Linked DNA regions of Styela clava. The protein of the gene in region 1 binds, or shares a complex with, the protein of each later gene. Links are inferred from orthologs where the notes say so. Each region holds a gene or a part of one and is shown on either strand. Other genes may lie near its edges.

What was found.
Region 2: the proteins of phenylalanine--tRNA ligase beta subunit-like (region 1) and phenylalanine--tRNA ligase alpha subunit-like are in contact, whole or in part, in a crystal structure (PDB 3L4G), measured with the Homo sapiens proteins. The link is inferred for Styela clava from reciprocal best matches to the Homo sapiens genes FARSB and FARSA. Residues at the interface, in NP_005678.3 of Homo sapiens: Glu26, Phe29, Gly32, Leu33, Pro68, Ala69, Asn70, Ile150, Arg152, Asp259, Thr261, Lys262, Arg305, Lys316, Lys317, Val318, Gly319, Ile359, His360, Cys362, Asp363, Glu366, Ala369, Ile370, Tyr374, Asn375, Ile377, Gln378, Met379, Thr380; in NP_004452.1 of Homo sapiens: Ser221, Gly222, His223, Leu224, His225, Leu227, Leu228, Arg231, Ser232, Arg235, Leu239, Gly242, Phe243, Thr244, Glu245, Pro247, Asp249, Asn250, Phe251, Ile252, Glu253, Ser254, Phe263, Gln266, Gln267, Phe277, Phe278, Leu279, Arg280, Asp281.

Annotation. Positions count from the first base shown.
Region 1 is NC_135256.1:5,856,312-5,872,752, forward strand, and holds phenylalanine--tRNA ligase beta subunit-like, read left to right. Parts: upstream 1-9,763; 5' UTR 9,764-9,957; coding exon 9,958-11,733; 3' UTR 11,734-12,004; downstream 12,005-16,441. Other genes in the region: uncharacterized protein LOC120327812, read right to left, coding at 1-51, 529-854, 1,340-2,846; phosphoserine phosphatase-like, read right to left, coding at 5,269-5,949; putative leucine--tRNA ligase, mitochondrial, read right to left, coding at 13,592-16,312.
Region 2 is NC_135250.1:4,205,153-4,220,777, reverse strand, and holds phenylalanine--tRNA ligase alpha subunit-like, read left to right. Parts: upstream 1-9,393; 5' UTR 9,394-9,470; coding exon 9,471-10,958; 3' UTR 10,959-11,642; downstream 11,643-15,625. Other genes in the region: 26S proteasome non-ATPase regulatory subunit 12-like, read right to left, coding at 247-421, 1,525-1,637, 2,932-3,066, 3,983-4,138, 4,830-4,934, 5,526-5,633, 6,549-6,677, 7,030-7,089 and 1 more.

The DNA.
Region 1 (16,441 bases):
GAAGCCATTCGAAGACATTTTTGTATTTCTTGCAAAATCAAGTTTTTCAATCTGAAATTTATTTTGAATTTTGAAAATATGTCAAAATATTGAAAATCCTATATATAGAGTCAACAGCCTTCGTCATTGGTTAGAAATCATTAGATAGATTATTACATAACAATACTAAATATTGTCATATATTAATCTATCTAATTGATTCTAACCAATGGACCATATCGTGCAACAGGAACAGGTTAGCTTAGCTTGTTTCTTATAATTATACAAAAGCCATAGACACACTTTGTCTAAACTGTTTGAAAATTAATTTTTCAAGCAAATGCGCAAAGTAATATGTATGTTGTACTAGTTTTAATTCTACAGACATTTCGTATACATTTTTGTCTCATCCGTAGTTCAATAAATTGGCTGATCTATGCTTAAAAGCGAAGGTTTTAGGTTTTTCCAAATATAGTAGATTTTCAAGTACAAATGCCTACTTGTCTAATCCCCAGTTAAAGAGTGAGAACATCACTGAAAAAAATATACCTTAACGCTGGAATTCTCTAATCTGTTGGCAAAATCACAAAGACTCTCTTCTGTGAGGTTGCATTGCCATAAAATGAGTTGCTTGAGATAAGAACAATCCAACAAAGATGAAGCAAGAGCATGCAAGTCAGCTGTCATTAACGGCATGTAAGAAAGATTGACTGAATTCCATACAGAAGGAACAATATCTTTTCTGCCTGTTCCAGCTTCATGTATTGCACGAATCAACTCGAGTCGGCCATTTTTGCTCAGTTGTTCAAAATGTTCAACTTCAGCAGCCATGCTCTCCACCAAAATATCTTTGTGAGATTGTACTTCGCAATGCTCTGGAATTTCAAACAAAAATGTTTACTTGCTATATCATTAACTATATCTTTCTATTTTTATACTCTAACTGTGAGTTCTGTATTATTCACTAATGTGGTTGTTTTTGTAGAGAAATTAAAAATAATCTATTCTGATCATCTATTTTTCATTCCACACTAATGTCTTCTTATTCTAGTGGTTGAATATATAACCAAAATATTGTGGGCACAATATAGCCCACTAGTGTTGAAGTATACGAACCATCTATGTTAGCATCACAGATTGAAAATCTAGGTTACAAATTCCCTGCATATCACTAAGATTGCAAAAATTTGGGTATGTATTGACAAATCAAGAAATTTCCAATCTTTACAAAATATAATTGCTATAATACCAGTGGTAGCTTTCACAGAGGTATGGTCAGGGTAAGAAGTGCGTGAAAATGTGGCATAAGAATAAATTTTTGTGTTTACATAGATGTAATGCAATAAATGTATTAACTCACCCTCAAGAAGTTGTTCTAAGGTGTCTGAAACCAAAGGGTCCAGAAATACACCATTCAGCATTCTTCTGATAACTGAGAACTCAGGCGTATGTAAATACTTTGAGATAAACTCTGAAAAATCCTTTTCAGATTTCTGTCCAATGAACAGTGCTGTCAGCACCTCCTGAATAATCTGGTGAGCAAACATGGCTTCTATATCACGTTCCAATATCTGCTGATATTGCTCTTCCTTGTTTAGACTTCCAGGAACAACAATAGCAAGATCTGTTACTTCGTTCGGGGTTAATTTAACTTCAGTCAGATCTACCTCGCTGAAAATAACCTTTCCTTTCATGGTTCCTTTGAAAGCCAATTCTTTCATCTTATTGACAGCATGGACTACATATTCAATGTCATGTTCCCCAAATGCTCGAGCATGCTTAGAATGCAAAAGATATTGTAAGAGGTTTATCATAATACCAGTTCCTGTGTTTGGGACAAAAGAAGATTCGTATTCCTTCTCAGCTAGTACAACCATGGCAAATGTAAGAAACATTGGAATTTCACAAAGGGCCATCAAATCTGGACATTTTTTATCAAGAATTTCCCAGGCTCTTTCGGCGTCATATTCCTTCAGGAATCCAAATACTAAATTTTGAATCGATTCACGGCTAAGACCTCCAAGAGAAATGATTCTATCAGGACGCAATTTTCCACCATAATTTCTCACTTTGTACTCCCTCGAAGAAGACAGAATTTTTGATTTTTTGAGGATATGACCAATAAAAATGTTGTAGAGAATGATTGATGGACAAGCATGATCCCAAGGTTCAATCAATTCAGTTTCATCATCCAACTCATAACCGAGTGTATCCAGTGAATCGATTATTAAGACAACCTTTTCAGAATTTTCAAGTACCCATTTGTATCCGATTCTACTTTCATCATCTGAAAGTGGACTATGCATATATCGGAACAAATATTCTCGCACCGTAATTTTCTCATCTTTTTTAAAACTTCGACATCTGACAATATGTATAAATCGATCTCCATCCTGTATATATGAAATTTCACCATTTAGCGCATCACGACCAAACCGCTTTAAGGCCGTTGTTTTCCCTGATCCTGCTGGACCTAATATCATCACATGACGGAGTAAATTTTCAAAATCGACTTTCTCCGAATCTTTATACTCACTGAGTTTTGAAAGAAAAATTTCCCCCAAGTTACTCAATCTTTCAGCATTCAGAGTATGAAAATTTCTTTCTTGAGTTTCTCTTGAAAATTCTTGCAATGGTTTATAATCATTAGCTTCTTTAGCAAAATATTCTCCTTGGTAAAATGAAGCAACATTGATTTCAAATAAACGAGGGAGTTCTTCTTTCACAGGTTCGTTCAAACTTTCTTGGAAGTCGAGCGAGACTTGCTTTTGATGTGCATGAACGTTTTTTCTTACTTTGTCAAAAAACCCATGCAGTATTTCATCAATCTGATGCCCTTTAACATCAACATCACCACGCCCCGACATATCGATTTAATGATAGATATCCTACACTCTACAAATCCATGCAAATATTAATTTAAATAACAGACATACAAATCAGTTGAACTGAATTTATGACTATGAGATAGCTAAGAAGCAACAGTTATTGCCCTTGAATATTGATCATCTTTGCTGAAATGAGTTGTGGAACATACAAAGCATATAGCACTATATATAGTTCTCAAGTTTTGGACTATCTTCGATTATTATGACTTGACACATTTTTCTAATTACCGTTGAACCTTTCATTCGATCTTCGAAAATATCACAAACTCTCACTGCAGTGCTCCGCTCCTGAGCTCAGTTGTCATTTTGAAATATTCAAAGCATAAAACTTTTTTCCCCAAAAAGGTGGATAACTGTTTTTAAACTAATTTGCTGGAATTAGATTTATCAGTCTTTTCCCTATTCATCATATACACAGAAATTTACAATAGTGCTTGTTATGTAGATGAGCATTTGGCAAAACATTCTACTGAGTATATCCTATTAGATATATAATAAAAGCTCCAAAACAGCTCTTTGAGCGGTTGTATACGACTCTTCTAAAAAATACTTGCTCCAGTTTTGGTTGAGAGTTCTATACCACGACAAAAATAAATTTGAGCAAGAGTAAAGTTTCATGCCCTGATGGTTCGCAAGTACAAGTCATGAACCGTTCTACTTTTATTCTCTCTCAAAGTTTCAAGCAGATACCTCAATTATAACGACCAGTGATCAATGAATTCAAATGAAGCGAAGTCAATCATTACAGAGAAAAGAATTTTATTCTGAAATCACAATATGGTTTAATAATTAACAACACTGAAATGATGCAATATGAAAGAGAGAAACCCTTTTATGAGAATAAAAAATGATGTTATAGGCGGACAGGTGGAATATTGACTATTATCAAAATTAATTTTCTTTGAAGAGAATTCACTCTTTCAAATTTTGAATTGTTATCTTCCTTAAAATAAATAAGCATTGTCTACTCTAGAGTGACTGTTGAAAGTGAATACACAAAAATACAAAGGCACACAGACTCATAAAAGCAAAATGTCTTTGTGTGTAAATGTAATAAAAACAACTATAGTGCTATTGACAATAGTATTGTATTGCCCAAGACATCATTGTAATACCAAGCCAAGGTAAATTACATTGAGTTAAACAAGTATGAAAAGAACTGTAGCGCCATCGACAATATTACATTCGTGTCAATATTGAATGTAGTGTTGACGACACAATAAAAAAAATTGCGCAATATATTGCCAATTCTACATTGATATCATATCCATGAGTGAATGCTCAAAACACATTTCCACCACCTCACTCAGGGTGTAGCAAATTTGGTATTATGCCAAACCACAAAGTTTCTAGTTCTTTCAAAGTTTTTAAGCTTTTGAATACTGAAAAGGATGGTTGTAAAATGTTTTTTTACATATGCCTTCTAAAACAATGTTGAAATAGCCATATCAACTATACCCAAACAAAAATGGCCACTCCCTCGTTTCATGTGCGACCGATTTTAGCAATTTAAACTACCCCAGAAAAATATAATTAAGACAATGAATTTGTACTGTAAACACAACAAAGGAGATAAATTTTCCATATTTATCTGCATTGATAAAGACCTGCTGTCGTCTGTTTTGTAAAACCAATAGAGGTAACTTGAATATAAGACACTCACACACTGTATGTATATATATATATATGATTTTAATACCGAACAAATTCAAGTAAAAATAAATTACCTATATTGGGCTTAAAATGAGAAAGCAGTTCGTAAATAAAACAATACCTGGGCTTTTGAATAGAGAAAAGGGATGGTCGTGAAACGTTTTCACATATGCCCTCTAAAACAAAGTTAAAATAGCTATGTTGACTATAAAAATTGTTACTCCCCCCATTTGAGGTGCGACAGATTTTAGCAATTTAAAATTAACCCATAAAAATATAGATAATGATAATATACTCATTTTGGCTATCCAACTGTTTAAAACCGGTGTTTCAATATATATACGCCAGGACATCAACGTTACACCAGATTATGACAAATTAGAATTGCTTTAAATCAGCCCATTATCACAAGCGGAAGCAGCAAAATTTTTGAACACTATTTATCCTATAAAAATATAACTGCTACTGCATTGGTGAATATCTTATGGAAGATTGAGATAACTTGGTCTTATAAAGAAAAAGCAGATACCACCATTTTTAGATTCCTCTTTTCCTTCCAAGTTAGGTTGAAGTCTATCTGTCTATTCGTATAGAAATGGACTTGGTCCCATATTTCCGTGGAAGTCAAGACCACAGTTTTTATACATTTTGTTATCGCATCAGCACTAAACTGTCGAGCGTAGGTTGAGCGTGACTGCCCATAAGGGTTAGAAGTTATTTAATATCACCCGATCACCATAAAAGTATTTCAATCCTTCAATTCATCTAAAATCTCTTGGAATGAATACACAAACCAATTTGCTTTTTCTTTCACAACTTCTCTTACGACATTGGCACCAAAACCAATAAAAGCGTCTGCTGGTGGACAAGCTTCTAGGTCGGTTGCTCCATCACCAATCATAACAATCTTTTTATAGCCATGCTTTTTACGTAATTCTTCAATTGCTTTAGCTTTTCCTCCTGATCTACAAGTTGGTAAACTTTCGTCAGCGCCGACACATTGTCCAGTGTAATAATACAAGAACTTGTTAGCAAGTATGTCTTCTCTTGGAATTCCAATCATTTTTGCGGTGGGGTTTATAATTTCCGTGAATCCTCCCGATATGAGAAAAATGTAGCATCCACGCTCTCGAAGTTTATCGATGAGTTCCTTTGCTCCGGGCGTGGCAATTGGTGTTCTTTGTTGTAAAAATGTTTTCAATCTTATATAAGTGGGATTTATTATTTTTATTCTTTCTCTTAGAGCTTCTTGAAAAGTCATAGAACCGCCCATTGCTTTGTTAGTAAGTTCTTTAACTTCATCGCCAACACCATGAAATTTTGCAAATTCATCTATGCCCTCATCGGGACATAATGTACTGTCTACATCAAGGCAAACAGCATCTGCATTTCTTAATACTTCTATTATTTGCTCTTTTGTGAGATCCATGATAATATGAATCGCAACTTTACTGTTTAAAATAAACAAAAGATTTATTATTTTATTTTGTCAACCAATATGAAAACAGTCTACAAAAAAATTACTGCTCATGTTACAGTTGCGTATGTATAAAAGATTCACATGCAAAACTGTTCAAATAAAATGGATGGATATACAAGAATTTTTTAATTGAGTCATTTAAATTCACTATATATTAAATGTATTTTAACGTTTTATTTGACTTTCTGGCCGTACAGGCAGACTTTAAAAATAAGAAGAAATAGGGTCTGCCATTCTTTGTGTTAGGGCTGTAAAATGCAATTCTTATAATAAGCTAATTTGATGTCTCAATGACTCCTATACAAGGGAGTTGAATGAGACCTGGGGTTGATTAGAGATATATTCTACTCTTTCATCTTTTAAGATGAGATAAATAAAAATGGAAACTTTTTGAGAGCGAGCAAAACATTTAATGAAGTTTAAAATATGAAAAATGTCATGCGCCCACTCACCAACAGTCGACAACAGCCAGAAAGAAGGAATTTATCCCAGGAAGAAGAGAGCCAATAAGACGTCGTATTATATGACAAACCACAACCAGCGCTTACGTAAACCACCCTACGGCAACGATGAGTCCAGCAATTCTAAAGCAAAAAATGTTTTTATCCAGTCATTGGTGCACAATCAAATATTGAATACTCGAAAATCACAACACAATATCAGTGAATTGGAAAAAGTTTAAACAAACATGTTTACATGCGGTACCACCTACAGGCACGCCGATATCTGAACATGTCTTACACATAATCCGTCAGTGCGCACAGTGAGACAGTGCGATAACTCAATGAACTGATTCAGTCTAACAAGCTTGCACGTGCTGGTACTTCTTTTTAAGACAATGTTACGAGTACCGGTACCTATCTGATTGTCAGAATCTGTATTAACTAAGCGCCGCAGGCTCCAAACCTGATACACCACCTGATAAAACCGGGCAAGCTACCGGTATCGTCCTATTCCACCCGCCCTTTACCAAAAGTTCCAACCAATTTTGTGAAAGGGAAATTCCATAGGATTCCCGCTGACACGTGTGCCCGGGTATTCCCCGTTGTTCTCGATTCATCTTGAGAAGTTGGGAAGCGCGGACACTGAACAGACTGGGGTAGCTTCTTGGGACCTATTTCTAAATTTAAAATATAAATCTTATCTAAGAAGCCCATAATCACAAGTTCACCGAATAATGATTTACGAGCAACAACTGAAATTGCGACTGTACATGCTACTAAAAGCGTATGCGGGTACAGGAATAATCTTGGTATTATAGTAATATTTTACTATGTTTCTCAAATTAAAAATATATTAAAAAGTCAAACCAGTTAATTTGGACTTTCTTAGAAATATAAATCTCTTGCTTTTTTCACTGGACATAATTGAGTCAGATAGCCCCAAGCCATTTCAGCACAGCTAACCAGCTTTAATAAATTTTATCCCAATTCCATGCGTTGGTTATTTTTTTTTTAGTATATATTTGTCCTGTTCTTTACTTAGGTATATTATCGTATTGTACCGTGATCGTAAGTTGGGAGCTGACAAATAAAGACATTGTCTCGTTAAAGTATCTGCCAAAGACGTGGGGGATTGGGCAGTCGATGTGCTGCTGTTGCTACTCGTCGTTAACAAAAACCAACAAGTCAATATATACTTTCTTACACCTAAACTTCCACGTTGGCAAAATTCATCAGTGAAATACTTGTAATGAAACACAAAATCTTATGAAGATATTAGGTCAAGTTCTTAGATGAAATTTCAGAATTTTTTTCAATCAATCAATCGGGCCGGTTTCTCCATGACTATCATTTCAGTACCGCAAATGACTGATTCATCCATTAATCGAGATTTGAGAAGGTATTCAAATCAAAATATAAAAGTAGTATAAAATATACTGGAACCGACATATTATTGTGCTATAGCCTAGCCTAAAAACATTAAACCGAGAATTAATCCCGTTGTTTAAAAAGCTTTGTTAGTATGAATTCTCGGAAAGGCAATACGAACCCGTCCGACACACGCTTAATTTTATTGTTTCGGGTTACTATGGCATTAGTTTTTAAAAAGTATTGACAAAATCACCGGAATATTTTAATTGTAAGTAATTGCATTGTAAGTCCAAAGGAATTGTTAGGTCTGCAATAAAGGTAATAAAAGTTATCAAATCAAAAAGTTTCCAGGACATGCAATACTTGGAAATGCATAAATTTCATTTTAGGTCAAAAATTTGGGGACAAAATACTGACGTTTTGAAGGTATACAGTACTATGTCTATGTAGCTATAAAAGTTTTTTGCACAAAGTAAATAGGTACTTAATTTAGCGTCCCAAAATCACGAATATTAAAGACAAGACCAAGACATTACAATTTTGCAATCACATTATGTTAAGTTAACCGAGTTTCTTGCAATTTATTTCATTTTGAAAACATACATAAATTATGTGTTTTGGCGATGGTTACCATTAAATATGAATTATTACAAATTACCGAGTCTGTGTTCAATTTTAATTTTTCTTGCAGGGGTTCGTCACTTAACAATCTTTCATATGGTAATGTGATTACCACAAAACATCATGAATTGTCAGTAATAGTATTTATTCAGTGAAATCACTTGATCTCGCTTGTCATAAGTTCAAACGCCCGAATTTGAGCAGAGATTAGATTTAGTGTTCAGAATTATACGTGCGCTTGTGAGAGGTGGCAAGTGTAAATATTGAAGTCTTCATTATCATTGTAGATCTCGAATTTCCTTCTGGGTTGTGTTTTTTCTGATGGTCACGTATTTCTAAATTTGTTTTTTTGTGATGTTTTTCTGGTGTGTTGTGTGCCAAAATTAATCATGTTAGCGCGGTATGCCTAAGACAGGCTTTGGAAAATTACGGCCCGCGGGCCGGATGCGGCACGACGAAGTGTTTCAGGCAGCCTAATTGTCTATGCTGAAATTACTATAGTTATTATGGATACAAATTTCCGCTGAAAATAACGACCCTGATTGTAACATTGCGCTTTCTATTATATTATAAACGTTAGCCTAGCTATGGATCTTTCTCCGACCTTTGAACCCCAAAATATTTTTTTTTATACTTTACCATTGAAATATCTTCGGGGCTATTTTAAGAGTGTTTTTGCGAGTTGGCGCCTGTAAAATGGGGTATCAAACCATCATTATGATTCATCGCATTCAACAATCTGTTTTTTAAAAGTACCGGTAGAGAATTTTAGCCTAGTCTATTACAGCTATTTCTACATAAATTTTTTATTACTGCAATTAAATTGAAACTCCTAGGGAGACAGAGTGATCATTAAATTATCCGATTTATACCTAAGTTTCCGAAACACAACAGAAAACTAACGAATAGAGTTCAAAAACGCAAAAATGAGGTAATGTTTACGACCACGCCTGAAAATCTGTCAGAGTGAGAAAAGTGTCTGAGCGGATGCGAAAAGGGAGCTTTATTACGTCACTTTTTGCATCTTGCTGATTGGCCAATGTCACGAAGTAAACAAGGAAATCGATGCTCGGGGAAAGGTCCATTCTACTAACTAGATGTTGTGAATAAACCGTTTTTTATTCATAGTTTCTCATATTGAGTTTTGAGACTCCGGCCACTAACCAGGTCTATTTTTTTGTAGCTGGCCAACTTAGAAAAGTAATTGCCCACCCGTGGCCTAAAAGATGATGCAACTTTGGGAAATGTGATATTGTGGCACCATTCAATTACTATTGACATGCCACCAATTAAAAAATAAATAGCGGTTAGCCCTGTAAATTAATTTATTATATCTAACATTTTTAAATTTTGTTTATAAAGAACGACGTTTTATAAAGGAATCAAAATATATTCAAAAATGGATATGCCACTGGTATGACTCCGGTTCCTCCCATTTTTATAAACTCCACAAGCGTTCCACATCTACATTACATGCTGATTCTGACTTGCGAGTGTTTTAGGCGTTAATTAATGTTCGGAAATGCCGACTATAAGTGTGAATCGGGATTTGTTGCATGAATGGCTTGGAAAAAAATATTCGGAAGAAGAATTTGATGAACTATGTTTCGAATATGGTCTCGAACTTGATGAAGTTACGTCCGTGAAGGAGCAGATACAAAAAGAGCAAGGGGACGCAAAGGCAGAAGGTGCCTCAGATGACATTATATATAAAATTGATGTCCCCGCTAACAGGTACGACCTGTTGTGCATGGAAGGCCTTGTTAGAGGTCTCAAAGTGTTTTTAAAACAGATTGAACCCCCTCGTTATGTGTGCTCCTCTCCTCCTGATTTGATAAAAATGAACCAATCACATGCCACACTGGAAGTTCGAGCAGAAGTAGTAGCAGCTGTTTTACGAAACATTTCTTTTACACAAGAACGATATGAAAGTTTCATTGACTTGCAGGACAAACTTCACCAAAATATTGGCAGAAAGCGTAGCCTTGTTTCCATCGGCACTCATGACTTGGACACAATACAAGGTCCGTTTTTATACGATGCTAGAAAGCCAACAGATATAAAATTCAAAGCTCTCGGCCAAACAAAAGAGTACACTGCTGTTGAGTTGATGGAATTGTACTCTAAGGAGAGTCATTTGAAGTCATATTTGCCGATTATTCGTGACAAACCTGTTTATCCAATAATTTACGATAGTAATGGAGTCGTACTTTCGATGCCCCCAATCATAAACGGTGAACATTCAAAAATCACTTTGAACACCAAAAATATATTTATTGAAATCACAGCGACAGATTTGACAAAGGCAAAAATAACTCTGGATACGATTGTAGCAATGTACTCGGAATATTGCGATAAACCATTTATAATTGAACCCGTTGAAATAACAAGACCGGATGGAAAGAAACTCATCACACCGGAATTGAAATATCGAAAAGAAACTGTTTCTGCTGAATATATCAATAATAAAATCGGCATCAAACAAAGTGCAGAACAGCATGCTGATTCACTAACAAGAATGTGTTTGAAATCTAAGGTTTTACCAGAAAATGGCAAAATTGAAGTTGAAATTCCCCCGACAAGATCCGACATCATGCACGCTTGTGATATTATGGAAGACTGTGCTGTAGCATATGGATTCAACAACATTGCCTTCACCTTTCCTAAATCTGTTACTATTGGAGCTCAGTTTAAACTAAACAAGCTGACAGATTTATTGAGAATCGATATGGCTGCAGCTGGATTCACAGAAGGTTTGTCTTTTGCTTTGTGCTCGAAAGACGATGTAGGAAGAAAATTACGGGATGGCGTTAAAGATATCCATCCTGTTCACATCAGCAACCCAAAAACATTGGAATTTCAAGTCACACGAACCTCTCTTCTACCTGGATTACTAAAAACTGCTGCTTCTAACAGAAACATGCCACTCCCGATGAAACTCTTCGAGATACAAGATATTATTTTCAAGGATAGCACTGCAGATACAGGATCAAGGAACAGAAGACACCTGGCTGCTATTTACTACAACAAAACCCCTGGATTTGAAGTAATCCATGGCCTACTTGATCGAATCATGCAATTATTGGATATAAAACCATCAGATGACTTAGGACCAGATAAATACAAGATCCAGGCTGCTGAGAACTCTGCCTTCTTCCCAGGACGGTGTGCTGATGTTATGATAAATGGAAAATTTGTAGGAAAGATGGGAGTTCTACACCCAGAAGTTATCACCAATTTTGAACTTGTTTATCCAGCATCAGCATTAGATCTTGATTTGCAATATTTTTTGACATAATTTATTTATTGTAATTAATGTGGTGATGTCATATATTTAAGTGTTTGTAGCTGCTCTCATGCAGAGTTCTGGAAAATTATTGAGCGAAGATGGTCGACGCTGTTTTAAAAATCCTATAATGTATTAATTGTTCCTCAAAAATGTTAAATGCGGTTTATCTCAGGCCCTGTCCATTGAGCCGATCACAAACAATCCTATCCTTTTCTGAAAATGTGTACCTAAACATTTTGTTAAATTTTCGCTACGGAATACAGAATTGCAATTATGTGTATTAGTATGATTCATTTAGAGCAGTGGTTCCCAACCTTTTTTGGTTCGCGACCCCCTACCTCACTTTCTATACCTATACTAAAATAAGCGGCAAAGTGAATATTGTGTAATATAAATTTTCATCAAGCTGTGATAAATGGCATTGGAACCGCGTAGCCAACTGCATAATTCGTGCTTGAGTTTTTGACAAAGCTAATCTCATATCATCCTCGACTTTTGTCCGATTCTGTGCCGTCGTTTCGATACAAAGAAGAGCTGAAAAGCTGCTTTCATATTTTTCATAACTTCATTTTCATATTGTTGCTTCTTCGCCATGGTAAATAAAATACCGGAATTATAACGTTACCGCAGGATGTATGATAATCTCCACAAAGAAACAACATAGACTACAAGCCTACCCCGCAGTAAATACCCCTTTGTATCAAAATCCTGGTGTTCTACAGCATTTCTTCGAAGCCCGCATGTTTACCACATTGCGGCGCGGAAATGCAGACGTGTTCGTGTGACATCACAATGGTTAAGATACCATAAACATCTTGCGCCGCTTGGTTTTCTGGGGTCTCACAACAGGTAGTGGAAATCTAGGGTCATTCCAGACTTCTTCGCGTTCTATTGACAATATTTAATCTAAAGCTTTGTATTATTTTTTACTGATTTGCCTTCACAAACCCGTTGCAACCCCCAGGTTGGGAACCACTGATTTAGAGGAAGTTTTACCACTAATGCATAAAGCAGAACTTTGTGAAGAGAAGAGGGTGGCTGCAGCCAGGGCTGTAGCCAGGAATTTACACGCGTGGTGGTTGTAAAATCCCTAACTGCCAAGTTAACAAAAAAAAAGACTCTGACGATGTGGGTTTTCAAGAGTCTTTGAGTGTCTTAAAGCAGCTGATATGTATGTTGAAAAAAACATTTTTTTCACATTTCAAAAAGAGGTCCGACCCTCAACCATGGATGTAGCTTCAAATACGTTGTTCATTAATATCAGTTTTGAGTGCCTGTTGACTGGACACTGTAATATTGCTGCATAACTTACAGCCGCCTGTCCACTCAGCCGAACATAAACACTCCCAAACCTTTCTGGAAAAAATCTGAAATGTATACATCCTAATAATGTTCTATCATTTTACTGTTTTGAGGAATACAACAATAAATCAATTTCCAAGGAGAATTCCATTTCCAAGGAATGAACTGTGCTGTCTTTGGAATTTATGTAGCAGTTTATAGATAATTGGGGATTGCCTCGATAATATTTACCGGTACTATTCGCTGGAGATTATCTGAAATAAAGTGGGATTTAGTCATGGGATACATGTGAAAATTTGAAACTATGGGTATACACCAATACCTCCCTGTAAATTCAAACCATAAATTCCACAATTTTTTTAGAAGCATATATTATTTTTGGTTCCATTACATTTGAACCCACGTACATTTGAACCCATGGCAATTGCACCTGTATGCTATTGCACCTATGTATTTTTTTTTGCTAACCCTACCTAACCCATGGGTTTTAGCACCCGCATATAGATTGAACCCGTGGATATACGCATGGGTTCAAATGTACATGGGTTCAAATGTACGGTCACCATTATTTTTCAGTGGTAGTAGATATATGAATAACAAAATTTTTCTTGTCAAATTGGAAATTTTCAATTTGATTCCCTTTCAAACGCCTTTTCACCTTTTTATGTCGCAGTATAGAGGACTTAACCTCAGTTAGACCGCAATCTATGTCTTCAGGAAGTCTGATAGAATGGCAAGTTTCTTCATTTACTTTGATTTTATATTCAATAAGCTGGAATTTGTTACTTGTGTCTGGTTGGGGCCAGTTTTGGCTCAAAACATCACTTTCCCATTTATGATTTGTAAGCTTATAGGGCATAAGTTGCATCCCTGACCACAGTTCTGATGCAAAATGAGGTACCATTGGCGCTGACATTATAATAAGAGCACACACCGCTTTCTCAAACTCCGGACTGGTTTGAACAATATCCTCTGGGACATTGAATAGTAATTTTGCAAGTGTCATTAGACAAGTGATAGCAGCACTGAGTACACAGTCTTTTTTATAGTGGTTTGTTATATCATTGATTGCTTTATTGGTATCTCGAACAATATTTTCAATTTCATGGAGAAGCTGTATAGGAGGATTACCCGAATTAACCTCGTTTTCTGGAATTTTATTCCTAGCATCGAGTAGCTTTGTAACACAAGTCCATAGCTTCAACTGCCATCTCATAACACCAGGTATGACATCTGTTTTTACATCCCAATGAATGTCTTCGAATGGTGCAGCAGCATACAACACATATAGCCTTGTTATACTGTAGCCCCACTCATTAACAAAGTCCTCAGGATCTACTCCATTGAGTTTAGATTTACTCATTTTTTGAAACGAGACTTCAACTGGCTCGTTGGTTTCTCTTAGGACAGGAACGTCTCTGGACTTATCAACTTCTGATACATGAATATATTTCCCGGTTGATTTAACTTGATGTGTTTGTCCTTTAATGATACCTTGAGCCAGAATTTTTTTAAATGGTTCTCTATGTGAATGCAGATTTTGATCCACAAGGAACTGATTAAAAAATCTGGCATAATATAGATGGAGTGTTGCATGCTCTTTCCCTCCAATATATAGATCGACGGGCATCATTTTATCAGCTATGTCTTTAGAAAATGGCAATTTTGTGTTGTGTGGGTCAGTATATCTTAAAAAATACCATGAGGAGTCAACAAAAGTATCCATAGTATCAGTTTCTCGATGCGATTGAGCCCCACACTTTGGGCATGTTGTATTCACCCATGATTGTACAGATGCCAAAGGGGAAACACCGGTATTCATTGATAAATCTTCTATATGAGGAAGTTTAACTGGGAGGTCTTTGGAAGGAACAGGGACCGGTCCATGCACAGGACAATGAATAATCGGTATTGGAGTTCCCCAATATCTTTGACGAGATATCAACCAATCACATAGCTTGCTACTCGTCATTTTACCACTATTAATTCCAAGTTGTTTACATTGTTCTAATATTTTAAGCCTCGCTTCATTTTGAGAAAGACCGGTAAAATCCTTTGAATTTAACAATAACCCATTGCTACTGACAACATTATTATATTCAAAATTAAATTTGTCAGCAATATTTTTTGCAATCTCATCGATGTCTGGAATACATAATATTGCGGTTGGCCTATCATGTTTTGACAGATAGTCATCACTTAAAATAACTTTCAATTTAGCGTCATTAAATGGGTTTTTAACAAAACAGTTACTAAGCACGATAGGATCATCTGGGAATGACATACTCAGTAATTTGGTCTTCATATTTTCCGCGCCATACCTTCCAAGTTGATGAGCAAGTTCGTTTTTATATTTAAATTGCAAAACAACATGCGAAGCACCAAATACTGCTTCAGGGTTCGTACAAAACACTGGAAAGGAGATGGGTCTCTCAATACCATCTACTATTAAAGAAAAGTTCATGTAACATCCATTGACTTTCCCAATCCAATTTCTCTGCATGGATTTAATCCCAACATCTTCATCAATTTCATCTAAAGTGTCAAGTAGGGATTCTGCATATTCTGATGTTTTAAAAAACCATTGTTTCAGATATTTTTGCTCTACAACTGCTCCAGACCTCCAAGAACAACCATTTTCATCAACTTGCTCATCTGCTAATACAGTTTGATCAATAGGATCCCAATTCACAAGAGCATCCTTTTGATAGGCTAATCCAGACTCAAATAACTTTGTAAATATATACTGTGTCCATTTATAGTAATCAGACTCGCATGTTGAAAACTCACGTTCCCAATCAAAAGTCAAGTTCAAATCTTTAAGTTGTTGCTTCATATATGATATATTACTTTTTGTCCATTCTGTAGGGTCGAGTTTCCTATCTCTTGCTGCATTTTCTGCAGGAAGACCAAAAGCATCCCAACCCATTGGGTGCATTACTTTATATCCATTCATACGATAAAAGTTTGCAAAGGTATCACTTATTGTGTAAACTCTTACATGTCCCATATGTAATCTCCCTGATGGATAAGGGAACATCGAAAGGCAATAAAATTTGGGTTTCCCATCATCAGCAGATACTGTCCTGCTTTCCCAATTTTCTTTCAATTTTTTATTCCAATATTTTTCAAGATCAATTCTTGTTACTTTTTTATATTTTCGTTCCCAAGATTTTGTTTCGTTGGTGATATGTCTAACAAAAATATTGAGAAAATTTGATCTGCTGAGTTGTCTATATTTAGTAACGAAATTCCTCAATACTGTCATAATGTGTCTATCAGATTTCTGTAATAATAATGGGAAGATTATATGCCTATTGAATTTCAAAAGCAAACACATGCCGGGTCTCGTGTAGTTTCGTACCTAACATACTTCTAGTGGGCATAGCACAACAATTTTTTCACCTGTCAATCC
Region 2 (15,625 bases), on another chromosome or scaffold:
ATAGTATGTTAACCAAAATGGCGGACACCGGAACGTAGTATGTGTACCAGGTTGGGCCATAATTTCAGGTACAAGTACTACGGGTGTCTCTTGTCTAGTCCCCGAACTTGTAACAGAACTAAAATAAGAGAAATTGGAATAAAATTATGGCCTAACCCTAACTTGGTACACATACTATGTTCAGGTGTCCGCCATCTTGGTGCACATACTACGGGAGCACCTTAAATTTAATAAACTTCAACTTACATGTTCCACTACTCTGTTTGCAAAATGTTTCCATCTTGTATTCCCATCATCAGTATGTAGGAACACATCAGTACATGGACTACCTGGGCTTCCATCACGAAGTTCTTTTTCATACATTTCACAAACATGCTGTGATTGCATGATTTCTTGAGACACAAATGATTGAAGAAGAGATCTGGTGTGAAAGAAAGGTTCAATTTAGTGATATACAGGATGTCCAAAAAAATTCACAGGATGTCCGAGGTTCGTGTTGTTACTTATCGATTTTAATCGGTAAGTATGTTGATAGATATTTGTCTGTTTGTCTGTTAGATGCACGCAATATCTCACGAAAGCGAGATTGAATCTGCGCCAGATTTTGCATGTGCATTCATCATATGTATCATTTGGATGAATTATGTCGTATAATTAGCAAGTTATTAATTAATTAGTGATGTGACACAAGGTGTCACTATGGAGTAAGAGTGCTGTTTTGGGGGATCCCCTAACTTTCGATCGATAAGTCTTCGGTCTCTGACGGATATTCTCGTTTCCCTATCAGCGACCTCGAGCAAATTTTCCTTATAGCTACGACTTGCGTCCATGGGTCGGACAAAACATCTACGCAAGCGGATATACGCATCGAAGCGTTTCAGAAGCAGCATGCAGCTACGCTACCATCAATATATTGTAGTTAAATATCAACTCATATATTGACTTTGATCATATCATTTCAGTAAAAAAACATGACTATTTGGGCATGGTCTTATGATTTCATGTTCAAGCTCTTATCTTTTGTTTTTCTTGTTTATATATATATAGGATGTCCAAAAAATTCCGTGCGATTTCAAGGTGGTTTCAATTAAAAATTTCTTTGTCTTTGTTTATTATTAGTTCCTATTGTGTTTAACAATTGAAAATTTCAAAGCGATTGGTCCAGTAATCAAAGAGAATAGCGATTTTTTCACAAACAAGAAGAAGGAAAATACTAACAACATAATAACAAAATGATCATATATACACTTTGTGTCCAATAAACTGTTTGAATGGAGAGGTGGTTATTCATTCATGCGGATTGCTGGACTCCTCGCCGTCGTAGGGTGGTTCACGCTACCGCTGGTCGGTTACGTCTTCCTCCACCATCAAGTCCATGTTTCCTAGAACAAATAACTAACTAATCCCATACCCGACTTGAACTGATAACCGGACGCCAGTCTGTGATTTGCTATATGGTTAAGCCGTCCTATCAGCTTTCTTCTCCCCGGGATAAATATGTAAATCCTGTCCTATATAACCTACTTGTACTTGGGAATTTCTTCCAGTTTTTTCTCTTGTTTTGTTCTTTCCAGCATATCTGATTGTTCATTGTCATATGGAGATAATATAACATACAGCACAACACTCTTCAATGCCTGGGAAATAAAAAATAGGAAAATGGTTTGAAAAAAAAACTCCATAATAACAGTCAGTATTGTCAACTGGAAATTGTAATTGCAGATATTTTTTTAATGTATTTTTGCTCGGGAGAAAGCCAGAGGGCTCCAAATAAGCATGCAAGATATTGAAGACGCTATTGAGATCAGACGAAGCATAGTTTACAACAGGGATGGCGAACCACAATGTGACCCACCGCGTTTTATTCGTGACCCGCCAAGGCACGAATATAATAGAAAAATGCTAATATATCAGTGATAAAAATTGATAAAACCAGCCTTGATCGAATCTAACAATAACTAAACTCTTTTAATGTACCGTCAGTTGGGTAATCAGGACTGCGATCGCTGATATTCAAATTGTTAATTTCCAGGCTGGTGTGGTCATTTTCAAAACCCCTAATCTTGGACAATAGAAAAAATTTTTTTGACCCATTGATTGAAAAAGGTTCGCCATCCCTGGTTTACAATATCACATGAATCTCAAGCAAGGAGTTTTTGCATTCAAATTCAAACCAGCCATTGCTTATGGCAGGGCTACTCAACTGGCGGACCGCGGTCCAAAATCGGACCTTTCGGGTATTCGATTCAGACTGCGCACAAATCCTTATTTTGGATCATTAGCCCCACTTTTGAAGGTTCCTTTTATGAAATCACTTTTATAGATTTAAAATATATATGAAAAGGACTATAACGCCATACCAAACAATCTTATCATTAGTCGGCCGAGGAATTGCGTGTTTAAGGATGCCGAAATATAATTCCTGGAAAGGATGGACCTAAATATTTTTGAAGTTTTGTATGCAGACCTTCGGTAAAAATAGTTGGGTAGCCCTGGCTTACAGCATCCCAATAAGCCTCAATGGTGGAGCCAAACCATATGTCAATCGGGACCATCTATTCACCACTATTCCTGCTAATTGCAAGACAACCTTTACATGCAAAAGTTTGCCAAGATTCCCGTTCCATTTGCTTACCCTGACCCTTTTCGGTGCTCCCGAAGTATGCGAACCAAGATGGCGGACATCGAAACGTAACATGGGTAACAGGTTAGGGTTAGGCGATAATTTTTTTCCAATTTTCCTTATTTTAGTCCTATTATCAGTTCTAAGACTAGCCAAGAGCCTCCCGTAGTATTTATACCTAAAATTATGGCCTAACCCTAACCTAGTACACATATTACATTCCGATGTCCGCCCTCTTGGTTCGCATACTTCGGGAGCCCCCCCTTTCCAATATCAAATAAACCATTAAAAAAATGAAGCAAATATACCTGTTGACATTTCATCGGATCATTCTGAATGAGCGGTGTATCGTAAACAGCTTTAAAATGCTTGCAAGTTGATAAATAGGAATTCTCTGACAAGTCCAGTTCTATCATCATTTCGTAGTATCGTAGTTTCAGTTTCTAAAAAAAGGACGAAATTTATTAAACTAGTAGATTGTCTAGTGCAGGTGTGGGCCTCGTGCCAAAACTAAGTTTAATCACAATCTCAACAATTTCCTTGAGCTATTTTTTAGTTAAAACATCAAAATTTGGTTTTAGTTTGGTTGTGGCAGCATCAGGCAGGACAGATTGAATTACCCAACGGGCTGGATTTGGCACGCGTAGTTTATTAATGTCAGGCCTAGTGGGTAGAGTGTTACTTTACGGCAGTGTTTCCCAAACTTTTTAGGCCGCAGACCCGTTTGCAAATCCCATTTTTTACGGACCCTCATCCAATGCAAATCAATTTATGTGCCTAACCAACGAGGATGAATTATGTTTCATCTGGATTTAGAACACAACAACACAAATGACATTAATGTGAAGAATCAATTTGTGATAAAAAAAATTCATAGGCCCGACTCTATGGCAACGATTCTATACTGTTTTACATATGTTTGGCTGAAATAGAACTTATGAAAGTCTGAATCCATACATAATTTAATTGTGTATTCTTGGATAGTCTCACACAATTAACTTGGTTTCACGCTTCTTTCTTGCCGCAACGGGGATCAGATGACCTTGGCAAACTATCTATATCAGAAGTGAGCAAGATTTTTGGACCAGCGGCCAGACCAGTTGGCCATATAAGTGTGACGTAAAATATTACATTTTATGAACAGAATGGTAAGAGTGCATGAGCTATAAACAAAAAATAACATTAAAAAGACCTTATTAGGACGCTAACAAAACTTTCAGGCAAGTCAGAATGAATCACCCAACAGGCCGGAATTGGCCAAAGTTAGATCTAAATTGACTACATGGATATCTGTGAAAGAGATGGGGGATAATATAAAAAATTTCCGGAAATATGAGCTGCAAAAACAGCGAGTCTCACTTGAATTTCTTCGTCCTCAGATTCAAAATATTTGATGCTAATTTTTTTGCTGATGATTTGAGCTCGAATGTAGTCCTTCTTTGCAAGACATAATCTCATCTGCTCAAGTATGAACTCAACTTTTTCTTTACGCTCCATACTTCCAAATGTTTCAACCTAAGATTAGGACAACGAAAGATAAAGTATTGTAGTTATTGAAAAAAAAAAATTTCACATAAAACTTTAATTAATAATATAAAGATAAAATGATAGAATACAGTGAAATAAATTGTTTCAACCAACAAATTTGATTTGTAATTTATATCACCTGAGTCATGCTTCAGGGCTAATTTAGGTAAAAAGTGAAATATTAACAAAAAGTAAATGACAGTAAAATGAATGATTTCCAACAAATGAAAGAAAAATTTATTCATAATATTGTTTCTGTCACATGAGTAGGGCCATATAAAGGATAGTTTTTAGGTCTGCCTTGAAAGAAATCAAAAATTAAAAAAGAAGATTTAAAAGAAATGCCCTTATTTTGACTCTTTTTTATCAATGGCATACACAGCCTACTAAAAAGAAATGAACCTTCATTCCCATTTACCATGTGTTTTAAACCAGGAATCATCAAACTGCGTCCCTGGTCGTCGTAGGGGTCATGGCAAAGTGCTCGTGTAATTTGTTCCTCTCTTTTAATTGTAATGAATATTTTTTTCGGGGGAATAAGCTCATCTCAAATTAATATTAAATAACACATTTATAAAGTGTGTGATAAAGGCACCGATAAATTGATAATATTTAAATGTATTTAAATTGAAAACATCACTATAAAGTTCTGGATTTGAAATATCAGCAATTATCTTACTTGTAATTCCTGCAGTATACTTGCAGCTTCAGCAATTTCACCTCGATCTTCTTTGATTTTTGCTAAAATTCTTGTCAATCTTGCTCTTTCAATTTCAACGTAAATCTAAGAATTGAAAAATAAGGTTTCAAAAAACAGCCAGCTTGACTGTTGGAGCGTCTCTCTAAGCATTGTAAACACATTTGCCATTGATTACACTGCGAAAGTTCAAACAAAATAAAAAAAGAACGAAGAGTTCATTACTTCAGATATGAATGCACAGCCAATTTCACTTAATCAAATGAATCAGTTTGTTAGCTACTAAAAACTTGTGGAAAACTAATTGATGAATATTCATTTTAGACAAGTTAACATTTACAATACTTTGCTACCCAAATAAAAAGACACAGCTAATTTTTTATTTCGCTAAGTTTTTATTCTGTTATCTTTGGTTACAATAGGTAAGTTTAAAGGTAGGATGACGACCTAACTCAACTCAATATAAACAGATTTAAAGAGGTGATTTTATTTTTACCCAAGTTAACTCCTTTTATTTTGTTAAGGCCAAATTGCTTGAAGTGAATATCCTAGGAACAAAACTACTAGTGGCTCTATGAGAGTAAAAATTGTCACTGTTAGAAATTTCTTATAATAAGCTAAACCAAATACTTCTCGTAATACTTCAATAGTAATAAAAAAGTATTCAAAATCTGTTACCTTTCCTTCAGTTACTGTTCTCAATGTATCAATCAATTTTAATTTAGTTTCCATATCAGGTGTTTGATCAACATATTTATAGCATTCTTGAACCATCTTTGCAACTGCCTGAAAAACGAATGTAAATTTTAACAAGGGGCGACATGTTTACATAATGAAATACATAGACATATGCAATGAATTACTATTTATTAGAACTTGAATAAGAAGGAAAACTAGAATATCGGTTAGAAACCGAAGACTTATCAATCGAAGGTTAGGGGTTCCCCAAAAACAGTGGTCTTACTCCATAGTGACACTGTGTGTCCCATCACTAATTATTTAATAACTCGCTAATTATAAGACATAATCCATCCAAAATTAATAGGCTTCTGATCCGAGCTATGATGAATGCACATGCAAAATTTGGAGCAGATTCAACCTCGCTTTCGTGAGATATCGCGTGCATCTAACATACAGACAAACAGACATACAGACAGACAAATACCTATCAACATATTACTAACCTTAAGATCGATAAGTAATAAAAGTCATTTATGATTCAAAAATGTTCAACTAGACTTAAAAAGTTAAGGTTTAGAAACATACGTTGCCCAACTGGGAAATCCTGGAAGAATTTTGTTCTTCTTGGAGAGAAATTTAGCCTTGTATTTGCTATAGTATTTATATTTATTAGTTGTTTATTATCATTATTACTATATCTATAATACTTATTTATGTACATATAATATAAATTAATCAAAACTGTACAAATACTTGTGCATAACTATAGTAGATATTATAGAAAGTGAGGGAGGAAGTTATTTCGGACGATCATCACAAGATATTGTCATTTTTTCTTTCAATTTGATATTTTTTTAACAGCAATCATTTGAGCATATAAATAAATATATAAGTATATTAACTTGAGTGAGCTGAACCTACCCTTATAAAAGAATTTTGTCTTTTTCATTCTTTATACATAAATGTGTGCTGGTCAAAGCCTTGTCTAGAGAAAAATTTATCAAAAACATCTAAACATACTTGTTTGAGTTGGCTTCTTTTCTTCGTGATGACAATAATATTATCGTTGAGCATGTCCCATTCTTTTGCTTCAAAGCAGAGTTTCACAATGGTCACAAGAAGTTTCCCGGTCGAGATCATATCACCAGCCTTAAAAAAAAGTCGAAATTACAAAACTATTTGTTGTGTATATGATCATTTTTGGAACGCCTCAAAAAAATTGCCTCAGGATCAAAATGGAAAAGAGTCAGAAAAAAAGAGCTGCAAAATCTTAGTCAACTTCCCAGAATAATTTTCAAGTTTGAAAAATGAACTTTGTGAGGTCTGGGGAGACATAAATATCATGACACATACAGACATATTTGCATAAACATTACAGCTGTGAAGGAAAGTTCAAGAGCATTCAGAATTATCGACGGATTTCAATATATAATTTCTTTCCAGTCATATAAGAACGAAGAAAAGTTGGTTTACAGGTTTAGGCAAACGTTAACCTACTCACCAATCTTGTCTGTTTTTCTAGTGCCAATAATTTATCCACGGCATCATTGAGTTTTCCATCCTGAAATACAGAATAGTAGTCTAAATAAATATCTATCGCTAAAGTAAAAAGGCAAAAATTACTAAACCTCATTTTTCAAATAATACGGCCGAAACTAGATAATACAAAAGAAACATGCGACTACTGAAAGAATTGTTCCAAGGCAGTGGTTCTTAAACTTTTTCGAGCGCGACCCAAATCTGAGTTTTATGAATACTCGCGACCCAATCCTAAATAACGCAAAATGTGTTTTTAATGTTAGTACAGTTTGACTCAAATACAGACAACTATTTATTAGAAACAGTCCATTGACTCAGTGAGATTGATGAAACTGAAATTTCCTTTTCATTATATCTTCAATACACAGCTCTATTTTACTTAACGCAATACGCAAGTTGTCACGGGTATCGAGGCAATTGCGAGCTTAGTTTTGATAACCGTCAGTGCCAAATATCCTCGCTCGCACAAGTGCCTTGTCGCGAATTGTTGCAGAAAAGGTGTCCGCTGTCTGTCGCAAACATGACATCCTAGCTGGCCTTCGGTATCTCTCGCAATATACAACTTTTTTCCTCATCAAATGTGCACACACTGCTTCGTTCGCAGTAAATGGTGCCTCGAGAAGTCACATTTTCTCTAGATATTGAATAATCCAATGTCGAGAAGCGAGCTTTTTCATTGCGTCGTCTATTACAATTTACATTACCAAAAAGACACCCATTTTTGGTTATTTTAATCCACTACGACGACATTCCACGCGGTTAACACAACGACAAGCGACGTGCATGGTTACCGATACCATAAAAATAATACACGTGACTGGCATATCAGAATTGTGATGTAACAATGAGCTCAAGACAGTTCTCCCCGTGAATGAAATTTTATATTTCATTATTTTTAAATACCAGAGTTTAGAAGCTAAATTGAAACATTGGGAAAGCTGAAAGTTCGTCCTTCTCCTCTTAGATTGACGACCTTGTCGCGACCCATTCTTAAACCTTCCGCGACCCATGTTTGGGTCGCGACCCATACATTAAGAACCACTGTCCAAGGGGTCTGAATAGAATCAGGAAACACAAAAACACTAATGGTTTAAGATTAGATAAGATTTTACCGTTTGATATCGGTAAGGCAATCGTCTTACCTGGTGATAATTAATAAACAAAAGATGATTGGCACGAAATACAGTGGTTGTGAACATGGCTCGTAAATTATAATAAAGTAGACCTGGATAATGAAATAGCAACACAGGAATCTATTACAAAACGAAAAAATCCTAAATTCTGCTACAATGCAAAACAGTTCTCACCGCTGCAACTTGTTGGCATTCTGGAATTACCCTGTCCACCGTTGTTGAGTAATCAACTTCCATTTTCTCTAGTTTACCTTCGGACGCCATTATTTATTTCCCAAAATCGCGTTGTACAAGAGAAATTATCAATGGTATTCAAGCGCAGAACAGCAGACTACAACAAAACGCTCAACTCAGATTATGCCGAGTAATGTTATCAGTATTACTAAGCAAAAATGTCGCCACCTAGTGAAACCCTCAACAAATTGCGGATGGTGATATCGGGTTAAATTTTTATATTAACGTAAATATATAAACAAGCCTGCTTAAAATGACTAACTATATTTTAAATAGATATATTTGTTAATTTTTGAGCTATTCTTTGCCTCTCGCAAGATTGGATTTTATGTATAATTAGACCAAAACTTTCTAAATATTGTAAAATTCAACTTTGAACACAAGTATAAAAAAGTGGTAAAACGACATCTTCTGCCAATTTTTTTTAAAACTCATCAAAATAAGCAAAGTTTCGTGTTATAACCTTCGATGCACAATTCCGTTGCAACATTCACGAAAAATGAACAATCAAGCAACCGGATACGACTCCTTGCACAATGGTCACTTGCGCCCACTCGCGGAGATAAATTTGGTACATTCAAATGTTTATCCACGTTGGAGAGTAGGGTGTCCACTTCATAATTTCGAAGTGTTACATCATGCAGGCAGGCGGTAGTATTTATTGGACACACAAGTGGATCCATGCATCGTTTTATTTTTTGTTGTTGTTTTTCTCGGTATTTTTCTTCTTATCGTTATGAAAAAATGACTTTTTTTTACCAACTGGATCACCAATTGCTTTGCAATTTTCAGTGATTGAAAATTGTATTTTTCGCTAGAAGGCTATTACAGTATTATTTTTTCGTGTCCATATATTTGACTCTTCGAGCATAACTCTATAAGTCTATTGAAAGTTTATGCAGAGCCTATAGAAAGCAAATTATTGCTGGAGCTGTGCCATTCTGCCATTGGTTTAATGAAATGTCTTTTTTTTTACTAGGCTAGTCGCTAGTGCATTACAACTTATCGTAATTCATTTCAGCACTATTCAGTAAATATGACTGAGAAAGAAGTAGATATGGCAACTGAGTTATTGCAATTCTTGGAATTGAATGAACGTGTCAACTCAATTTCATACGCAAAAACCAAAAATTTGGAACATCAAAAAATTGTCGGTTTAATAAAAAGCTTACAAGTTCATGAAGGCGTGATAGACGCCTCACAGAAAACAGACAAAAATTGGGTTCTCTCAACCGAGGGTAAAAAGCTCGAATCAAGTGGAAGTTATGAGTTTAATATTTTCAAAAGAGTTCCAGCAGATGGTATTGCGCAATCTGAACTGGTGAAAGATAAAAATGATAAAATTGGCTTCAGCAAGGCGATGTCTAATAGATGGATCAAAGTGGACAAATCGGGTGGCGCACCGAAGATTTTTGTCGCTGATGGCGTAAACCCAACTGATATTGTTAGAGATAATTTATCAAGAATAAAACAAGGATCTCCCATTCCTGACAAAGATAGGGCGGAGTTGAAAAAACGTAAATTAGTGGAGGAAGTTACTATAAAGAGTTTTGATGTTACGAAAGGTGAAAAGTTCACAACGAAAATTGAGAAGGCAGCAACGGATCTCACAGCTCAAATGATACAAGATGGCTCATGGAAAACAACAACTTTTAAAGATTACAACTACTCTGCGATGGGTATCAAACCTTCAGCAGGACACTTGCATCCCCTTTTGAAAGTACGATCTGTTTATCGACAAATATTTCTTGAAATGGGGTTCACAGAAATGCCAACGAATAATTATGTAGAAAGCTCATTCTGGAATTTTGACGCCTTGTTCCAACCTCAGCAACATCCAGCTAGAGACGCTCATGACACTTTTTTCATTTCCGACCCTGCGGAGTGTGACACTTTTCCAGCTGACTATGCAGAAAAAGTTAAAAGAGTTCACTCAGAAGGTGGTTTCGGTTCGCAAGGGTATTGTTACGACTGGAAGTACTCGGAAGCGAAGAAAAATTTACTTCGTACTCACACTACAGCTGTGAGCGCCAGGATGCTGTATAAACTTGCTAAAGAAGGATTTAAACCCAGTAAATACTTCTCAATAGATAGAGTGTTTCGAAACGAATCTTTGGATGCAACTCATCTCGCCGAGTTCCACCAAGTGGAAGGTGTAGTTGCAGATTACAGCGTAACTCTTGGAGATCTTATGGGAGTGCTACAAGCGTTCTTTCATAAACTTGGTATTACAAAGTTACGTTTCAAGCCAGCTTACAACCCATACACTGAACCATCAATGGAAATATTCAGCTACCACGAAGGACTCAAAAAATGGGTAGAAGTTGGAAATTCTGGAATTTTCCGACCCGAAATGTTATTACCAATGGGCCTTCCGGAAGATGTTAATGTTATCGCATGGGGTTTGTCATTAGAACGTCCGACAATGATAAAATATGGTATAGATAATATCAGGGATTTGGTCGGCCATAAAATCAATTTACAAATGGTACAAGATAACCCTGTCTGTAGAATGGACTTTTGATTAAATAAACAGCTTTGTGCAATTAACTATATCATGGTATAAGACTACATCACGAGACTGAACGAATATAGGAACCTTGTTTGATAAAAGATCGTTGGAGCCTGGGATTCAGATTGCTGCTTTGCCACCATTCTACAACTTTATTAGGTGTTGCTTTTCAGGAATAGCACCCGACCTTTTTAATTTTTTTCTTCTTCTACAATGTTGTATTTCTGTTCCCATATGTTATTGTCTCTATGTTTGAAAATCATATGCCAATGTTAAAGTTTTTAAATGCTATTTAAATAGTCAACGGCTTTCATATGAATATTATTCGACTAGGTATTACGTCAGACCAAGTAAATATATAAGCTTAATTTTGGCTTACCAATTTGTCTGATGTAAACAATTATTTGAAATGCAACAAAATTCACCACTCAATAAGCAAATAGCAGACGTACGGATTTTGTGTAGATCTGATTTTGTGCATTCTATATATAAACATCTTTCAACCAAGCAAAATAAAAACAATTCCCAATTTTTCAAATCCTGAACCTCTTTGCAGCAGACAATAAAGTTATACAAATGATCATATTATGTGTATTTAAACCTGCTGCAATCATTTATTTATGAAAAAGTTTGAAACTTTGTAGAAGTCTTACTCATTGTTGTGGTGAACTAAAATAAATGTTATCAAATCTAGAACTTTGTTTTATCTTGAAGCTACATACAGTTATTTGGTCAGGATGAACCAATGCTTTGGCGTTATTGAATAGAAGAAGAATAAACAGCTGTTCACTTTACCACTGATTTCCCTATTGCCCCCCTAAAATTGAGATGGTCTTCTTAACTTACATATTCAAAGTGGCGTATATATGCCGGTGCAAATGCTCCAGTCAAATACATGTTTTATCACCAACAAAATATACACCACCCCCTCAATGTGGAAATATCCCCTAAAACCAGGGGCGGTCGCCCCCCCAATAATTTCGCAAAAAAATGTAATACATGTTGTTTCCGCCTTACAAAATTATCATTTCCGAAAAGTGCGATAGTCAAGCGCAATTAAACGGTAATAGTTACCGATATTATAAATGTTTTCTTACAATAATTTGGACCAGATCGCCTTCCGAGCACCTCACAATTTTGTGAAACATGCGCGCCCGCATGGGTAATACTCCGTCTTCAAACGCACCGCCGATCACACGCCACGGTTTTACACAACTAATTCATTTTTGTACAATTTAACATGATTTTCTCATTGTCAAAATCTTTCAATAGTGTTATTGTTGGCACTTGCGAGAGAAGTGAAAGTGGCAAACTGTGTTTCATTACAACAATTAATTATTATCGCTAAAAAATTAACTAGATCTAAAGTTGTTATAAACAATTTTCACCGCTGGACGTATCTTTTCACGTTATGGATTTCGTGCAAGGCCCAGCATAATTTGCGGGCAAAGATCAAAGCATTTACTATGTCGAAAAGTTGAAAAGTGGCAATATAAAATACTAAAAATAAAACTGTAAACAATATAAGTTTTGTTGAGGCCCGCGACAGTCTAAAAACGCTTTTCTAGGCATCGAAAATGTGCCTACGGCACAAGTTATGTTTGCTTGACCTTTAAAAACATTTCGTCACTAAAATCGAAACACGGGCAATTGTGAGCGGGATTTGCCTTTTTATCCCTTACTTTTAAATTGACGTCGAAAATTTTCTTGTTAACATTAAACAAAGCTGAGGACGCGACTTTTCCCCGGTTTGTGATGATATATAAGATAATTAAAGTATATTCGATCACTTTTTGTATTTATTTATGTATTTTTATTGTACTGAAATAACTTTTACTACGTGAGAATTGACAGAAACTTTACGGATTTTTCGAAAGGTTTTATCTTCGAAAATAATCGGAGTGACAACATTGCGATTGAGCGGAGCCAGTGTGACAAGTATGGTGGCCCATCGTTGTCACGCGTAAAATTGAAAATAAAAATAAAAAATAAAATAAAAAACCGATAATAAAAATTTTTTTGTAAAAAAACATAAAAATAATTAAAAAAAAAATTAAAAAAAAAATTAAAATTAAAACAAAATAAATAAATAGAAACGAAAAAAAAAAAAAAAAATTAAAAAAAAAAAAAATTAAAAAAAAAATTGAATAAAAAGAAAATAAAAAGGTTGACAACGATGGTCCGCCTCGTGGCCCATCGTTGTCACGCGTTTTTATTTTTAGAAAATTTGCTTCTGCTTGGGACCAACGTTGTCAGGCATAATCCTACGCGCACAAATGTGTTCCCTGGGTTTCAAACTCACTACTGATTTTCTTGAGCAATATTCAATATGAAAATGTTCTATAAATTCTCCATGCTACAAGTTCAACAAGAAGTAATATATTTATAATAATGATAAGAGAATATAGAATTGAATACGAAAATTCGGAAAATTTGTTTTTACGTGTATAAGGTAATTTAATTGGAGAATGCTGCTTAACTACTCAGTTGTCTGGACACTCGCGATGCCGGTACCGTACCGTCTTACCAAATACCGGTAGTCGGTTATAGTCGCTTTGCGTCTGACCGTACCGGTAGCCATACAATCACTCATCATCTCCCATTCTTTCACGAGTGATTGCATGGGTACCGGTACGGTCAGACGATACCGTACCGGCATCGCACGAGTGTCTGAGCAGTTAAGCAGCATTTTCCGATTAAATTACATTCTACACGTAAAAACAAATTTTCGTATCCAATTCTATATTCTCTTATCCTTATTATAAATATATTGCTTGTGGTTGAACTTGTAGCATGGAGAATTTGTAGAACATTTTCATGTTGAATTTATTGGATATTGGTCATGAAAATCAGTAGTGAGTTAGAAACCCAGGAAACACATTTGTGCGTGTAGGATTAAGTCTGAAAACGTTGGTCCCAAGCAGCATCAAATTTTCTAAAAATAAAAACGCGTGACAACGATGGGCCACGAGGCGGACCATCGTTGTCAACCTTTTTATTTTCTTTTTATCCAATTTTTTTTTCAAATTTTTTTTTTTTTTTTCAATTTTTTTTTTTAATTTTAATTTTTTTTTTAATTTTTTTGTTTGTTTTATTTTTCAATTTTTTTTTTTAATTTAAATTTTTTTTTATTTTTTTTTTTTAATTATTTTCATGTTTTTTCACAACTATTTTTTTATTTTCGCTTTTTTATTTTATTTTTTCATTTTTTTTTTAAATTTTACACGTGACAACGATGGGCCACCATAGACAAGTACATCTCAAATTTATCGAATGCGCAAAATAGCAAAAATACGGATCAAAACAATATATAAACGGGCAGTTTACCACACATTTTTATGTCCGCGGATTGCCGTCGTGTTTTAGAGTGGCTCTTGTTTTGTCGACTCAACCGCAGTTTAAGTTGAAGACAATTAAATTAATAAATCAAGACATTTTGAATATGCCCGTATCGGTCTTCGATTGATTACTTTGCACAAGTGAAAAATCAGTTTTCGTTGATAAAGTCGGCTCTTTTAACAAGTGGCGTAATCGCGGCGACCATTCCGCGTGGATTTCGAGGCGGTGAATTTGTATTTTTGATTTACTAGTATAGTTTATAATTATTTTCATTGTATGAATTAAAATTGTACTATATGGGATTTTATATCAGATATCGAGATTTTTGTAACGGCGATAACGAGTTCGGAAGATTGCAAAAATACGTATTAAAATTAAATACATCAGGCAGCTTATCTCATATTTTTATGTACACATATCGCCGTGGTACTTTAGTTTAGTAATATTTTTATTTTGACGTAAGAAGTCGCAACCGCGAGTTACGTTGCACACAAATAAATTAATATATAAGGACATTTTAGAATCTCGTGGCTGTCATGAATTGACAGAAAAATCATTATACGCTCAAATAGGCGGCTCTTTTAACGAGCGCGTAATCGCGGTGCTTGTTGCAGACGGCAATGGGAAGTTCCGACTTTGACCCCGCCTTTTTTTTTAAATCCTGGCTGCGCGCCTGAACTTGTGCCTGTTTATTTTCGTATTAAATTATAAATAAAAACCCTGCAAGTCATTGCGTGAATCCTGAATGTTATTTCGAGTTCAAATGATGATTTAATAAATCGGCAATAATGGCAATTCTACTAGTCAAATGATAACTCCTTGGTAAAATTTAGGAAAAAAATTCGCACAATAGCTTGTTACCTTGTTTTGCATTTCTAATTTTACGAAACGGCGTTAGTGCGCTTTATGCAGAACTAGGAATTGAAACAATAACCTAATACGACTCCTCAAATTTGTTATTTTCTGTTTGTTAGCAAGAGCCGTGGGCTAATTCTCGCGGAATTCAAGAAATTGGTTCAGTGACGCGCAAGTTCCGTGTCCGAGCAAAGCAGCCTAGGTAATCGATATATGAGTAGCAAAATGACATGCTAATACTTAGAGAATGACATCGACAGGTTATTGTTACGTGACGATACACGGCGCGGTGTTTTTCGGTAGGCAATCCAAGTTCGCCCCCCCCCCCCAAATTATGGAAAGTGTCCGCCCCTGCCTAAAACTTAAAAGCATGCTGATTGTTGACCTTAACTAACCATTGGGTTCTATGCATTGTTTATCAGGGGTCATGATATTATCCCAGCTATGTACAGAAACATAATTTTTCCAGTGTGAAAAATGGTCGC